Macaca fascicularis: one gene and its partners. The protein of the gene in region 2 purifies or fractionates together with the protein of the main gene of each other region. This does not show direct contact. Links are inferred from orthologs where the notes say so. Each region holds a gene or a part of one and is shown on either strand. Other genes may lie near its edges.

What was found.
Region 1: the proteins of KIFAP3 (region 2) and KIF3B purify together in Homo sapiens (co-immunoprecipitation; 7 studies listed by BioGRID and IntAct, counting the BioPlex papers as one, with this or other methods). This does not show direct contact. The link is inferred for Macaca fascicularis from reciprocal best matches to the Homo sapiens genes KIFAP3 and KIF3B.
Region 3: the proteins of KIFAP3 (region 2) and KIF3C purify together in Homo sapiens (co-immunoprecipitation; 3 studies listed by BioGRID and IntAct, counting the BioPlex papers as one, with this or other methods). This does not show direct contact. The link is inferred for Macaca fascicularis from reciprocal best matches to the Homo sapiens genes KIFAP3 and KIF3C.
Region 4: the proteins of KIFAP3 (region 2) and KIF3A purify together in Homo sapiens (co-immunoprecipitation; 9 studies listed by BioGRID and IntAct, counting the BioPlex papers as one, with this or other methods). This does not show direct contact. The link is inferred for Macaca fascicularis from reciprocal best matches to the Homo sapiens genes KIFAP3 and KIF3A.

What each region holds. Positions count from the first base shown.
Region 1 is NC_088384.1:88,358,546-88,362,742, reverse strand, and holds the start of KIF3B (kinesin-like protein KIF3B), read right to left. Parts: upstream 2,840-4,197; 5' UTR 2,733-2,839; intron 1,670-2,732; exon of another isoform or gene 1,600-1,669; intron 1-1,599. UniProt on the Homo sapiens protein: Microtubule-based molecular motor that transport intracellular cargos, such as vesicles, organelles and protein complexes. Uses ATP hydrolysis to generate force to bind and move along the microtubule. Plays a role in cilia formation.
Region 2 is NC_088375.1:27,702,907-27,707,130, forward strand, and holds the start of KIFAP3 (kinesin-associated protein 3), read right to left. Parts: upstream 2,806-4,224; 5' UTR 2,566-2,805; coding exon 2,534-2,565; intron 1-2,533. UniProt on the Homo sapiens protein: Involved in tethering the chromosomes to the spindle pole and in chromosome movement. Binds to the tail domain of the KIF3A/KIF3B heterodimer to form a heterotrimeric KIF3 complex and may regulate the membrane binding of this complex.
Region 3 is NC_088387.1:96,281,371-96,284,932, forward strand, and holds part of KIF3C (kinesin-like protein KIF3C), read left to right. Parts: intron 1-150; coding exon 151-273; intron 274-1,446; coding exon 1,447-1,565; intron 1,566-3,562.
Region 4 is NC_088380.1:139,256,509-139,260,572, reverse strand, and holds the start of KIF3A (kinesin-like protein KIF3A), read left to right. Parts: upstream 1-1,234; 5' UTR 1,235-1,361; coding exon 1,362-1,367; intron 1,368-4,064. UniProt on the Homo sapiens protein: Microtubule-based anterograde translocator for membranous organelles. Plus end-directed microtubule sliding activity in vitro. Plays a role in primary cilia formation. Plays a role in centriole cohesion and subdistal appendage organization and function.

The DNA of each region.
Region 1 (4,197 bases), on a different chromosome or scaffold from region 2:
CCTCGTGATCCGCCCACCTCGGCCTCCCAAAGTGCTGGGATTACAGGCATGAGTCACCACGCCCAGCCAGCTTTCACCTTTCTTTGCAACCCATCGTGGCACAGGATTACAGGTTCCTGGGGCAACCATATAAAAATATCAACATTTATATAATGCCATGATGGCTACTGTTTCATGCTTGCAATGACATTATGGTTGACAGACCTGGTATTATCACATACTTTAATTTAATCATTCACCAGCCATAAATGGAAAATACAGTACAAGTACCACATTAAGCCCAAATAACAATAGCTAATGTTTATCAAATATGCTGGGCACTTTACATATATTAAGTTCAAATAAATCCTCAGAACAGACATGCATGATACGTACTATTACTATCCCCATTTCACAGATGAGGGAACTACACCACCAAGGGGTTCAAAATGAACTACGAATAATTCTTCCTCACAGGACCCGTTACCAAAAAGTCATCTCATCATTTCAGAGGTATTGACCATCATTTCAGAGGTAAAGTAGCACCTCTTTGCTCAGTAGCGCACAGCTTGGAAGTAGCAGAGTCAAGATTTTAGCCCAGGTAGTCTGATTGCAGGCTTTTAACCACAACTGCAAAACAGCACTGAAAGGGCCTTCAGTATAATCTAGCCTAGTCCCCTCATTTTAACAAGGAGAGAATGAGGGACAGAGAAGCCCTTTTTTAAAGATTCCAACTCTCAGGTTGGGCGCGGTGGCTCACGCCTGTAATCCCAGTACTTTAGGAGGCCAAGACAGGCAATCACCTGAGGTCAGGAGTTTGAGACCAGTCTGACCAGCGTGGAGAAACCCCGTCTCTACTAAAAATACAAAATTAGCCGGGCGTGGTGGCACATGCCTGTAATCCCAGCTACTTGGGAGGCTGAGGCAGGAGAATTGCTTGAACCAGGGAGGCAGAGGTTGCAGCGAGCCGAGATGGCGCCATTGCACTCCCGCCTGGGCAACAACAGCAAAACTCCACCTCAAAAAAAAAAAAAAAAAAAAAAGATTCCAACTCTTTTCTGAGATCCTCACTTTGGATGGTATCTCTTTAAATAAAGCTTTACCTGAGATCTTGTTTCCTTGCCTTTTAGCTTCCAGTCAGTTAAAAGTAACAAAAGAAAAAAGAATACCCCTGTGGCCTTATAATAGCAACTGTTGCAAAATCAGAGGCAACAGTGAATGGGGGATAAAATACAGGATTTACCTAGAAACACCTCCACTTCCATCACTCAATAGATACAAAATTCTTAGGCAATGGCTGGGTGTGGTGGCTCATGCATATAATCCCAGCACTTTGGGAGGCTGAGGCAAGCGTATCACTTGAGGCCAGGAGTTCGAGACCAGCCTGGCCAACATGGCAAAACCTTGTCTCTACTAAAACTACAAAAATTAGTGGGCAAGGTGGTGAACATCTGTAGTCCCAGCTACTCGGGAGGCCGAGGCAGAATAATCGTTTGAACCCAGGAGGAGGTTGCAGTGAGCTGAGATCGTGCCACTGCACTCCAGCCTGGGCAACAGACTGAGACTCTATCTCAAAAAAAAAAAAAGAAAAGAAAAAAAGATTCTTAACCAGGTCCTTACCTTCGCTTTTCTGAAGCTCAGTTTCCTTATTGGCAAAATGAGGATGGTATCACCAGGTACCTGGCAAAGTCTACGTAAGGATTAAATGAAACAATATGCCTGGTAAAGTGCTTCTTAATCATATGCTTGTAGTTATTACTGCTGTAAGCACTTCCCAAAGGACACAAAGATGCCTTTTTTCTTCTGGAAGGATCAACGAAGCCCAAGTAGAAAATGAGACCATGACCCCAGCTATCTACAAAGGATTGACCTCAAAGAGTTTGGACTACTTGTAGAAGTCCACTACCTCCCTTGCTCTGAGCAGAATGGAGAAGTAAAACTGGGGTTGGGAGTTGGCATTGCAGTAGGACTACCCATATGGGCTGGCACTCTACACACCTACACCTTACCTGTCCCAAAGTCATCTCCTCCTGGGAGTCTTGCCCTCCTCCCCTAGACGCCTCATAATAGCTAGTTGAGCACTTACTATGTGCCAAGCTACTTGACATACCCAGTCTCGTTGATTTCCACAGTAGTCTATTATACCGTTTCACAGATAAGAAAAACTAGACTCAAAGAAATTAACTTGCCCAGGGCCACACAATTACTAAGTGGAAATGCCACGTCTCTAACTCACTCAGACTTCAAACTGCCCTCTTGGTCTCCCATGCTAGGGTGCCCTAAAAATTCTCCCTCTCCCCATTTGGGGCACTTTCACACACACGTCTCATCACCTTAACCACTCAGAGCAGCAAGTGTTAGCACCCCTTTGAATAAACAGGTCAATTAAGGCCAGCGAGGGGAAAAGACTTGCCCAAGGTCACACAGCAAACCCGGGACAGCGCAGTGGTTCGGACCCCAGGCTCTCGCTTCCCCGCCCTCGTCCCAAACTGGGGCCCTGACCACCGCTCCAGGGCCCCCAGGTGGGTTGCGACCCAGGGTGGCCGTGTCTGGGGGTCGGGCCGCGACCTCGCCCGGGGAAGGAGGGGCAAGGCCGTCCGGACGACCAGAGGATGCCCGAGAGGCAGGGCAGAGGATGCTCCGGCTCGCGGGACAGCAAAGCCAGGCGGAGGCGCGGGCGCGGGTCGCAGGGAAAATCCCAGGCGGCCACAGGATAAGCCCTGCTCGGCGGGCGCCCGGCCCCTCCGACTCACCTGCGGCCCGAGCCGAAAGCGGGCGGCGGCGGCGGCGGCGGCGGCGGCGGCGGCGGGGGCGGCGAACCCCTGGCTCAGCCATTCCCCGCTGCCCCGGATGGGGAGAGACAGTGGCCGCTCACTTCCTTAGCAACCTGGCTCAGCGACCCACTTCCTTAGCAACCAGTGTCAATTTCAATAACTTTATTGGCACACGAGCAACGGACAGGGAAAGCCAGCTGGCGGGGTCCGGGCGGGGCTCAGCTCGGTGCTGGAGCTTAGCGGGGCCCAACACACCTTCATCTCCTCACCCACCTAAGCGGGTAGAGTGGCGCACAACGTGGCCTAACTCCATCCTCTGGTATCTCGTGCCTCAGTTTCCCATCTGTAAAATGGAACATACGCTATTTCAGCCGCCATTCAACCTTTCCTAAAAGCTTTCACATCCATTATCTGACTGGTGTCTCAAAGTCCTACCGAGATAACTCCCACTTAGGGTGCCCCCAGTGACTCAATACAAACACCTACAGGCATCCTTGTTGTATCTTTCTTGTACTTCACCCAATCTAATCACTCACAACCGCACCAGGCAAGGCCAGACCACGCTCATCTCTAGCCTGCCTGAAATATCTGGTCTCTCTCTCTGTTTCCATTCTTTCGTCCAGCTCTGCCCGGACAATTCATTTTCCATAAGGTGGCCAGAGTAATTATTTAAAACAAATCATGCGGCCAGGTGCAGTGACTCACGCCTGTAATCCCAGCACTTTGGGAGGCCGAGGCAGGTGAATCACCTTAGGTCAAGAGTTCGAGACCAGCCTGGTCAACATGGCGAAACCTCCTCTCTAATAAAAATTTAAAAAAAATTAGCCAGGTGTGGTGGCATATGCCTGTAGTCCCAGCTACTCAGGAGGCTGAGGCAGGAGAATCGCTTGAACCCGGGAGGCGGAGGTTGCAGTGAGAGAGATGGCGCCACTGCACTCCAGCCTGGGCAACAAGAGCAGAACTCTGCCTCAAATATAAAACATTAAAATAAATAAATAAATAAATAAATACAACAGATCATGCCACTTCCTGGTTAATACTCGATTTAATAGAGCCTCATTGCTCTTAGAATCAAATGTGAAGTCCTTATTACTTCCTGCAAAAATTGTTAAAACTCTATTCCAGCCACACTGGCCTAGAAGGGCAGGTTCCATCCCCCATGGAATTTACACCTGCTGTTCCCCACTAAATAGAAACTGCATAAGAGCAGTCTTTTATTTGTTCACTCTTGTATCCACCAAGCCTGGAACCAAGCTTAGTCAATAGTAGGTACTCAATAAATATGTGTTGCTCCTTGAATAAATGAATAGCTGAGATGCTCTTCTTCACCTGCCCACCCCTACTTTTTTGCCTGTTGTGGCAGATATTGCTACTTCCTCTCAAAAACGTTATTTCTTCTTGCTGCTGGACACAGAGCTAGACAGTATTTCCCAGCCTTCCTTAC
Region 2 (4,224 bases):
AAAGCTTGACACAAAAGCCCACATACTTTTTTTCATATAGCATGTATAAATACAATAAATATCAGTATGTTTTAAAGTCTGTATTACTTGCTAGAGTGTAAATGCCATGAAGGCAGGGAATATACTTGTTTAATTTGCCAAATATGTTTTATCACTTGGCTCAATGACTTTTACATAGTAGAATCTCAACTATTGAATGAATGAACAAATGTTGTTCACTTTTAATATACTTCAGTAGTTCCCCAATGCACTCATAATAAACTCTCAACTCTTTACTAAAGCTCATAAGCCCCATATGATTTGGCCCACATTTCTTTCTAGTCTTACTCTGACTTTACTTAATAATCTATGTTTCAGGCACCTTGCTGAGTGCTGGGGACACAATGGGAAGTAAGATAGACATAGCACCTTACCTTTATGAAGTTTATAAACCGGAAGGAAATATAAAGTAGTAAGATTAGAGAAAAACAAGGTATTAAGTATCATGAGACCCTAACAGGTATACCTGACCTGGATTGTGAGGGGGGAAAGGGAAGTTCAGGAAAGCCTTCTGGAAAAAGTAGTATTTATATCAAAACACGAAAGATGAGGAATTAGCTGGGCAAAGAACAGGACAAGTTCCAGAAAAAGGGAAGGGCATGTAAGAATCAAACACCAAAACACATAGGGATCCAAAAAAAATTATTTTTGTAAGACCAGAATATGGAATTATTCAGGTAGGAAGGGATGGAAAATATACTGCTATCTGCTGTCTTGTGAAAAACAAAATATAAAAGTAAAAATATTGTTAAAGAATATATGTAATCATGGTCAAAAAACAATAATTAAAATGGAAGGTTCTATTGGACATCATAAATATTTTCCATCAGGCCTGTATGAATACATGTCTCCTATATATTTCTAGTCTGAAAGCAGACGATTCAAACTTTTTCTTATTTATAGTAAAAATTAGATGAAATTGAGAAAAGCATTTTTCAACCATTCCAGATTCTAATCTCATTTTACTTCAAACATTTCATTGACTGGTTCAGTTTTAATTTTGGAACTCTAGATAGTATGTGTTTAAAAGCAAACAATGCGTTGAGAATTATAAGTCACAGTATGCCTGAGTGTCCATACTAGTACCATAATGTTAAGAATAACTACCTCTGACACAAATATATTACATGAAAATCAGCTAATGGTATAACAGCGGCTCTTTGTTCCAGAACAATTTTGAATTTAAAGTTAAAAGACAATTTATTTTCTTGTGTCACAAAATTTTTAACAAAGGTATTTTAAAAACCAACGTTAAGTAAAATTCAGTGAGGAAATAAACACTGATGTAAGCTTATATATTCATTTAAAAATTTTTACTTATAAAGTCCGGCTATTTGCCAGTTTCAGATATATTTATATAAAATGATAAAGACAGGCAATACATGCCTGTCTTGCAAGGACAATATAGTTGATTATTTATTAAAAAATTGTTTGAATCCCTTTTATGAGTCTACTAACACTTGGAAGATCTTTCTGTGATGATGAGAGCTCAGCCAAGCCAGAATAAAAATATTCAGTACAAGTGAATTATGACTTCAAATAATACCACCACCTTACATTCATGTTTCATTTTTTAAAAGTATTTTCATCTTTCGTCCTCGTATCTCTCAGAAGTTAATACCTGTCCCATTTTCAGATGAGGAAACTGTGCCCAAAGGAAGGAATACATGTGACTTTTCCAGGGTATTTACTGAATCAGTACTGAATTAAAATTTTTTTCTATTGGATCACTGCTTACTCTTGGTCCAGTGGGAGGTATCTTTTTTTTTTCAATCAGGAATGATCTGAGTATTTGCCAGCAGCCAAATAATCCCAACAGACTACAATTTTTTGAGTAATTGATACTATAAATATTTAAAAGAAATGATGGTCTATTTTATTGTCATCAAGCTTCTGAACAAACCTCTTGATAATTACGAAATGTCCTACAAAAATTATGTTGAATATATGGCAGTCAAATGGATGACATGGATGAGGAAAGCAGAAAGAGACTAGAAATCAACATCTCAATCCAGCCTTCCAAAAGGTAGAATCCACGACTTCCTTCTCCTTCATCATTTCAAAACCCCATGGCAGTGAACCCCAAACTGAGGCCCGAGGGCGGATGCACCAGATTTCATTCCCAGGCTCTCATGGGCTTTATCTATTATGGGAAAATGGAGAGTCTGGGAAGAGGGGGAAAAAAAACAAAGACAGACGCGGTTTACCTTGCCCTACACCTCCCTCTCCTCCTGGAATAAGGTGATGCAGCGAAGAAGCCATCTTTCAATGCTGTCAGGGCTCCGCCAAGTCAGATCAGAGGACCTTGAAACCCCCCAGAACTCTCTCCTTTTTTTCCCCGCTTCACCTTTTCCCTCTCCTTTCGGTGACTTCTCTCCCTGCTTCCCATCCCCTCTTCTAAACTAGCGTTGCCCAGTGACATCTCACAGCCAACCCAAGACCATCTTCAGGGCCCTGGCAAGGAGGGTAGGACAGAGCTTTGGGGAGTCGTCACCTTTTGAGGTATCTGGCGTCCTCCCCTTGCATGGCGGCAGCGGTAGCGGCGTGGGGAGGATGGGGTGTCTGAGAGGCAGGCGCGGCTATTTCCGGGGACGGTGACCAAAGTACCCTCACACCCAGAGGTGATGACAGTCCTGAGGCCTGCAAGGCGGGGCAGCAGCGGCGCTTTGGTTACCACGGTGAAGCCTCCAGCTCCTCCCACAGCTTCTGGGCCCCAAAACACTGGAGCGGCCCAGACCCGCCCAGAGTCGCCTATGCCGGGCCGTCAGGACGCATGCGCTTGCTCTGCACCATTTATATGCGCAGGCTCAGTCTGAGGCGCTGGCCTCCGAGTTTGACGCACCGGGGAGCGGAGCAGGGAAGTTTTGGTGCACATTTGAGCGTCCGTGAATAAGGAGTGGCTCCGTAGTCACCGCCCCCTTGAGGATGGGAATAGAAAGGGCTGTCAGGTCAGCTTGAAAGGACGGAGGGGAATCCGAGAACCTGTTATCCAATGCTACAGAGCAGTCCAGTCCTAGCTAATAAGGGAGGTTTCTATTTGGCGGCCTGGATTGCACTGACGGCACTTACAAGCTCTAATTTGTGGAGATAATCTGACCCGTGTACAAAATGGATATAATTAATATCTACCTTGAAGGTGGCAAGTCTGTCACTTTGATGTCTTAGATCTAGAATACACCTCTCCCCAACCAAAACAAACAAACAACAACAACAACAAACAGTTCCTGAAATTCCAACTCCACCAATTATCCCTAACTCAAGGTATGTTTAGAATTGCTTCTTCTGAGGCAGGCAATTGTGAGCAGTGCAGGGCATAGGAAAGAAGGATTCTTTTATAACTGAATGTTCTCTGGTTTAAGATCTATTCCCATGAGTTCAGCTATTACGTCTATGCAAATGATTTAGGTTCATTTATTTGATAAATGTGAATTGAGGGCTGGCTGTGTGCCAAACACCAAACCAAGTTCTAGGGATGCAAAGAAAGCATCTCCACTCCCCCTCCTCACCTATAATCTTGTCACTTATTCACTGTCTTCTAGTCCTGTTTTCTCAATTGCCTCGAGACGTGCATGTAGTTGCTCTGCTGCTTTTTTCAAATGCAGTACGTTGATGCAATTATTGATTATCCGTTATGTGTAAAACACCATGTTAAGGCACTGCATGGTATATTAAATATAGAAATACAGTCCTTACCCAACAAAATATATTTTTATCTTCCCACCCATTCACACCAGCTACAACACTATTTCTGTAGATGTTATAGTCATTCTTTATTCTGCCAGGGAAGAAAATTTGAAGCTAATTTTAATTCCTTCCTCTGTATCATGCCCTCTTACTAAAGTGTTACAAAATTCTATCTTTTCTTCCTTCAAGATATTCAGGTAGTCCAGTTTTTTTCTCCATTCTTACTTCTACCAATAGTCTAACCACTTTATACCTAGAGTACTGCAAGTCCTTCCTCACTGGACTTCCTATTGTTTGTTTTTCTAAATATTAATTCTGCAAAATGATGTAAAATTTTACAAATTATCATTTATGACAACTTTAACGGTAATATAGCAGGCTAGATTACTTTAAAACCTTCACAATACCTAAAATTGAAAGACAAAAATATACATTAAAATGCATAGATAATATAAGAAGGATTTTTGGAATGTAAGTCATCTCCTTGAGCTCAGAGAATTT
Region 3 (3,562 bases), on a different chromosome or scaffold from region 2:
TTGGGTGGGAGCGGTGGATGTGGGCCATGGGCCATGGGCCATGGTGAAGCCAGGTCCCGACACAGGGAGAGTGAGCCAGTCCCCTGAGCGTTCTTGGCCCTCCTGGGTATGCTCTGCTCCTTTGAGCCACACTGTCTGTCCTTGGCCTAGAAACGTCGTGAACGGGAGATGCAGCAGGAGATGATGCTCCGGGATGAGGAGACCATGGAGCTCCGGGGCACCTACACGTCCCTGCAGCAGGAGGTGGAGGTCAAAACCAAGAAACTCAAGAAGGTGAGACACTGCAGTAGGACCAGTCAAGGTGTGCTGGAGGCCCAGCAGTCTCTGCCCAAGGGTGTCTGCTTCAGGGACTCCTCCCCATTTGGCTGGAACTGTTGAACCCTTGAGTGACATGGCTTGGGCCTCGGGAGTGAATAGCAGGGGGAGGCAGGAGGCGGGGGCTGGGGGTGGAGTAGAGCCTTTTCTCCTGGGCCAGGGTGGGCTGTGACAGGCTGCAAACTCTGTCACTTGCAGTATCCAGGGTTACCATCCTTATGGTCCTGGGTGATTTCCCCATTCAGTGTCAGCAGTGAGTCACAGTTGGGATAGCTGGGCCTGGAGCAGGGCCAGGGGAATACAGAGAGGCTGAGGAGGAGACTGGAACCCCAGGAAGCTCCGGCGGGGAGCATAAGGCCCTCAAGGACATGTCAAGGGATGAGAATAGCCGCTCACCAGGACCCTGCAAAGCCCGTAGCAAGGGAAAGACATGTACATGTGAGGAGGGTCTAGGGCAGGAAGCAGCAGAGCTCCAGCTTGGATTCTGGGAGAAACCTGGAGACCCTTTGGGGTGGCTGATGTGACTGCCCTGGGGCAGGCCCGACAGAGGCACTGCCACTGAAGCAGTTACCATGGACCCAGCCCTCAGCGGCTTTGGAGAGCAGCAGGATGGCCATGCTGCCTCCACACCCCACTTTTGAGAGCCCCTGAAGAGACTGGAGTGGGAGGAGTTACCTTCCAAACTCTTTCAGGCTTCATGCTCCCTGAGCCGGGTCTCCAAATGAGCCCTTGATCTCCAAATGGGCCCTGAGTCCCAGTTCCGGCTCTTCTATTTGCTGGTTGTGTGACCTTGAGCAAGGCTGTGCCTGGCTTCCTCATCTGTGAAAGGACGGTATTGGATCAAAAGGTCCCTGGGGTCCCCTCCCGTTTGAACACTCCACGATGCTGATAGCAGCGAGAAAGAGCAGGCAATGGCCACAGGCCTCAGTGTAGGAGGACAGGGCACCCCTTTAAATAGCCCAGCCCAATTCGTGGTGGGTTGGGCACAGCAGGGAGTAAAGAAAAGGACCCCCAGCCTCATCGTGGGCTGAGTCGGTAGACTCTGAGCCTGCAGCCCTGCGGCCCAGGCTGAGTGACTGGGGCCTCGTTGCTACACCAAGCAGCCTCTGAGTGGCACCTGTCCCCATCCAGCTCTACGCCAAGCTGCAGGCGGTGAAGGCGGAGATCCAGGACCAGCATGATGAGTACATCCGCGTGCGGCAGGACCTGGAGGAGGCGCAGAACGAGCAGACCCGCGAACTCAAGCTCAAGTAGGGCCCGCAGCTCTTTTGCTCCCGGGTCCCACAGCCAGCCATCATTACTCAGGCCTCTCCTTCCCGAAGGCCGCATCCTGACTGTCTCCTCTCCCATGAGTCCCTTAGGAACAAAATGCGTCTGAGGGCTGAGGGATGGGCCCACGTGCTGGAGTTTCTTCTACCTCCCTGCCTGTATTTTATGAACCCCTCAAAACGGACGCTAAGTGCTGGCCAAAATTAACTCTGAAGGCCCTGAGGCTACCATCTTTGCATAAGAAGCAGTGATTTTAAATTTTTTAAAAATTATTTTTAGGGCCGGGTGCAGTGGCTCACGCCTATAATCCCAGCACTTTGGGAGGCCGAGGCGGGTGGATCACCTGAGGTCAGGAGTTTGAGACCAGCCTGACCAACATGGTGAAACCCCGTCTCTATTAAAAATATAAAAATTAGCTGGGCATGGTGGCAGGCGCCTGTAATCCCAGCTACTCGGGAGGCTGAGGCAGAATTGCTTGAACCTGGGAGGTGGAGGTGGCAGTGAGCCAAGATCACGCCACTGCACTCCAGCCTGGGTGACAGAGCGAGACAACATCTCAAAAAAAAAAAAAAAAAAAAAAGGTGGCTCATGCCTGTAATCCCAGCACTTTGGGAGGCCGAGGCGGGCGGATCACGAGGTCAGATCGAGACCATCCTGGCTAACACGGAGAAACCCCGCTTCTACTAAAAATATAAAAAATTAGCCAGGCGTGGTGGCGGGCCCCTGTAGTCCCAGCTACTTGGGAGGCTGAGGCAGGAGAATGATGTAATCCTGGGAGGCAGAGCTTGCAGTGAGCTGAGATGGAGCCACTGCACTCCAGCTTGGGCAACATAGCGAGACTCCATCTCAAAAAAAAAAATTATTTTTAAATCTGTTTTAAAAATTATTTAAAAAATGTATATAGTGTATGTATATAGTATGCATATATAGTAGGTATATATATTAATATTTGTGGGATACATTAGATTTTTTGGTTTTGAAGATGGAATATTGCTGTGTCATCCACCCTGGAGTGACCTCAAACTCCTGACCTCAGGTGATCCGCCCACCTCGGCCTCCCAAAGGGCTGGGATTACAAGCGCGAGCCACTGCACCTGGCCACATGAGATGTTTGGATACAGGCGTGCAATGTGAACTAAGCAGATCATGGAGAATGGGGTATCCATCGCCTCAAACATTTATCCTTCAAGTTACAAACAATCCAGTTACACTCTTTAAGTTATTTTAAAATATACAATTGGCTCGGGTGGTGGCTCATACCTGTAATCCCAGCACTTTGGGAGGCCAAGGCGGGGGGATCCCCTGAGGTCAGGAGTTTGAGACCAGCCTGGTCAACGTGGTGAAACCCTGTCTCTACTAAAAATGCAAAAATTAGCCGGCTATGGTGGCGTGTGCCTGTAATCCCAGCTACTCGGGAGGCTGAGGCAGGAGAATCACTTGAACCCCGGAGGTAGAGGTTCCAGTGAGCTGAGATCACACCATTGCACTCCAGCCTGGGCAACAAGTAGAAAACTGTCTCAAAAAAAATATATATATATATACACACACATACACACACATATATATACACACATGTATGTACACACATATATACACACATATATACACATATATATACAATTAAGTTATTGACTATAGTCACCCTATTATGCTGTCAAATAATAGTGTTTATTCATTTTTCTATTTTTGTGTACCTATTAGAAGCAGTCATTTTTCAAGCTGCAGTATTTCTGTAGGGATCCTTTCTGCTTAACTTCTTGATTTTCCCACCTCCACATTGCCTCTGCTTCTTTTTTTTTAAATAAATAAATAAATTAATTAATTAACTTAGTTTTTTGAGACGAAGTCTCGCTCTGTCACCCAGGCTGGAGTGCAGTGGTGCCATCTCGGCTCACTGCAAGCTCCGCCTCCTGGGTTCACTCCATTCTCCTGCCTCAGCCTCCCGAGTAGCTTGGGACTAAAGGCGCCCGCCACCTCG
Region 4 (4,064 bases), on a different chromosome or scaffold from region 2:
GCCATTACTTTATCTGTAAAATAATAATAAATAGTATCTATTTCAAAAGGTTATTGTGTGGATTAAATGAATTTAAAAAAGAAAGCATGTAGAACAGTACACTGGCACTATGTAAAATGCCTTATCATTATTTTCCTCAGTTCCTACTGCAAGCTCACAGCCCTTGCATGCTAAGATGGAAGCACGACGGGAATGTTGGATGATACAAGGAGGCCAGGTGGGGCTGGTGCAGAAGAAGCAAGAGGGAGGATTGTAGGGCTTGTGGCTTTAGCTTTGTAAGATGGGAAATCAATGGAGGGTTTTGAGCAGAGAAAAGAGAAGATCTGATTCATGTTTTAGCACCAGCACTCTGGCTCTTGTCCAGCACACTGAAAGGGGACAAGGACACAATCAAGGAAACCAGTTCTAAGCGACTGTAGTAATGCATGTGAGAGACGATGGTGGTGGGAGAAGTGGCCAAATGGTTCCACTACGAAGACAGATACAACAGGCTGTATTTAAAGATACACTATTCATACACATGAAAGAGCTTGCAGTTTTGACCTGAGCAGTTGTCGGAATTAAGCTCCCACATATTGAGACGAAGGAAGTCTGGGAAGAATGAGAGGGAGCCCTTTTTAATTTTTTAATGGGGGTGGAGTGGGGTAGTGGGGCGACTGATGGGGGATCAAGATTTCAATTCTGGACATGAATAACTTGAAATACCCATTACACATTCAAGTGGACTGGAAAGAGGATGGACGGATCATTGGTTCTTTGACCAACACGTATAAAAATCCCACTCTGTGCCAGGCTCTGTGTAGGCTCTGGAGATACGTGTGAAAATACTAAACCACCTCCTTAAGAGCTCACTTTCTAATGGTAAGACCGGTCATGAGGAAGTTAGCAATCAAGCGAGGTCAGGTAGGTGAGGTCTTTAACTCTTCGGATGAGAGAAAATGTGCAATTGCTATTACTGATTTTAACATTCCGGGTATTGCAAGGACCAGCAGACGGGCCTAAGAGCTGCTACTCCTCCCAACCCGGGGCTGCCAGGTTATCTCCGCCTCAGTGCGGGCCACATTTCTAGCGCAGCAGAATGGCAGCATTGCGCACGCGCGGCCTCTGTCTGGAGTCCTAGGAGATGGACTCGGAAAGCCTCCGCGCAGGCGTAATTCAAGGGCCATGAGAGTCTGAGACTGGGCTTGGGGCGGGGCGAGCTCGGAATGCGGCTGCGCACTGGGCGCTCTCGCCCGGGAAGCCGCAGTCTCGAGAGCTCTAACGAGGTGCTTCGATAGTCTCTGGCCAGCCTTTCTGCGCACCCGGTGTCGTTTCGCTGGACCCCGGGCGGGGACGTCCGCCGGGCACGGGAGGGAGCCAAGATGCCGGTGAGGAGAGTCGCTTCGCCTCTGGGGTTTCTTCTCATCCTCGCGGCCTGGCCCGGGGGCGCGGCCGTTGCCATGGAGGCGCGGAGCAGGCTGACTGCCTGGGTGGGGCGGGGCAGGCTCGGTCGTGCGGCGGAGGTGGTTGGAGAGCCTGGCTAGTCAGCCCCGGGGCCGCGGACGTCCGGCCGGCCTCGAGAGGGGCCTGGGGGCAGGCCCTGCCGCCCTCGTCGCTGCTGCGTCCCGTGGGGCCTGCGCCGCTTATCAAAAAGGCGCTGGGCTGGAGGTTGCTCTCTGGCTCGCAGCCCTGCCTGCTGAGCGGGGCGTCTGGGGGTGGCCACGGAGGGTCTCTTTGGATGCTCCACACCTCGTTAGGCCTTTGCGCCTCGGAGCAAGCTCAGGGAGGCAGCGGAGCGAAGGCTGCCTGCCCCTATTCCGAGCCCCAGACTCCGACTCTCCTAGCCTGGAGCTGTCATTTCTCTTGTGGCGCTTTAGCTTATGATGCAGAATGAAACCTGTAGGTGTCTTTGTGTGTGTGGCGGTGTTATGTTTATCTTCCAGGATTTCACAGATTGTTATCGTGAACTTAATAATGGGGCCTTGTAAGACCCCTTGTTAGGGGTCATGGAGGAAAATTGAGCCATGGCCGCTTATTTAGTGGTTGTGAAGCCTGGCATAATTATTTAATCTGTCTGGGTCCTTAGTGCCCAAGTAAACTTTACCTCATGGGGTTGTTATCCGCGTGAAATAATGCACAGGAGACTAGAAGGACAGTGCTTGACATTTAAGATTAAACGCTCTATATTTGTACCTGTTCACTGCTTTCAAGTTTTTAATTCAATAAATATTGGGCGCCAACCACGTGCTAGGCCTTGAAGATACAACATTGAGCAAAACCAGTCAGGTTCTTGAACCTGGAAAGAGAGAGGCTTGCCTTCTTGGGCAGAGGTGAAAATCATACGTATTTGCAGAAATAAGACACAAAACCTTAATGAATGAAGTGAGTGGGTGTCCTACAATAGAGAGAAGTAGATTCTGGTGAATTGGAAAGTATTGCCATGTAAGATTGATGGTCTGCAGATGATAACAGGTCATTTTTTTTTCCTCCCAAGAAGAGACTTTAGAAATCATTTTTGTGAAATTTCTTAATTTTAGCAACTAATTCAGAAGCTCTTTAAATACTATGAACCAAACAAAAGAAATTTGTGGGCTGAATTCAGCCTCTTGACTACCTGTTTGCAACCTCCAGTGTAGACAGAAAGACGTTAATCAAATAAGGAACAAGCAAAAGTAAAATTCGTGTCCAGGAAGGGGAGAGCAGGTGCTTTCTGAGCCTATAAGAGTATTTGACCTAGTCAGGAAGTCTTCCCAGGTGAAGTGGCTGTTGAGTTCTGAAGGATAAGTAGATGTTAGCTAAATGAAGAGGCCACTGAAGATGGTTCTAGGTAGAAGAAACAGCACCTGGAAAGGCCAGTGGTGAGGAGCCTGGTGACAAGAAAAGGCCAAGAAGCTCAGTGTGGCTGTGGCATGGATGAGTCAGGCAGAATATCTTGTGAAATAAGCCCAGAGAAGCAGACATGGGTGGAAGCCAGACCTTACAGTCCACCTTAAGGATTCTGGTTTTTGTCCTGAGATCTATGGGAAACCACTGAAGAATTTTTAAGTAGGAGAGTGACATGATTAGATTTGTGTTGACACTGACTGCTATTTGGAGAATAGGCAGTAGGGCAATCTAATTAGATTCAGGAATATAGTTAGGAGGCAGTAATCCAGGGCCAAGATGATGGTAATTTAGACTAGTGTGATGAAGGCAGAGATAGATAGAAGTGTATTGTACTGATATAATCTGTTACTTGTCAGTGACAATGTCAAAGTCAATGACAATGGCTTATATTTGTTTCTCTTTAATGCTTAGAAGAGAATCTGAAACAGTAGGAATTTAACAAGTATCTGTTCAACTAAACTGTCCTTTTCACTTCAATAATAGGATTGTGTTTCATTATATTTTCTTAATCATAAAATTTCAGAAATAGCTGGGTGCGGTGGGTCACGCCTGTAATCTCAGCATTTTGGGAGGCCGAGATGGGTGGATCACTTGAGGTCAGGAGTTTGAGACCAGCCTGGCCAACAAAATGAAACCTCATCTCTACTAACTAAAAATACAAAAATTAGCTGGGCATGGTGATGGACGCCTGTAATCCCAGCTACTGGGAAGGCTGAGGCAGCAGAATCGCTTGAGCCTGGGAGGCAGAGGTTGCAGTGAGCCGAGATCATGCCACTGCACTCCAGCCTGGGTGACAGAGTGAGACTCTGTCTCAAAAATAAGAAAAAAACATTCAGAAATGGAAACTTTACATGCACAAATGCTCATAAGGTTAGGTAATATAAGGCATTTTTCTTTGCCATTAGACTTTCATTTCTGTCTTTATCTTATTGTTGTCTTCTGTAGAGAAGGCATATATGGATATATTACATAATAAAAACCATTTTACAGATGCATGATAGGGGATAAAACTAAAGTCTCAGGGGGAAACAGAGGTCCTACTATATTCTTGAGTTAAAGTTGTTAACCATAGTCACATGTGTTTTTCTATAGGCAGGAAACGCTGGGTCAGAGACTTTTGTGCAGAAAGACAATCTAGAATATATTGGTTCAGTTTCTGCTTGTACAGCCTTTGCCACAAATGTAAACTAGATTTTCTC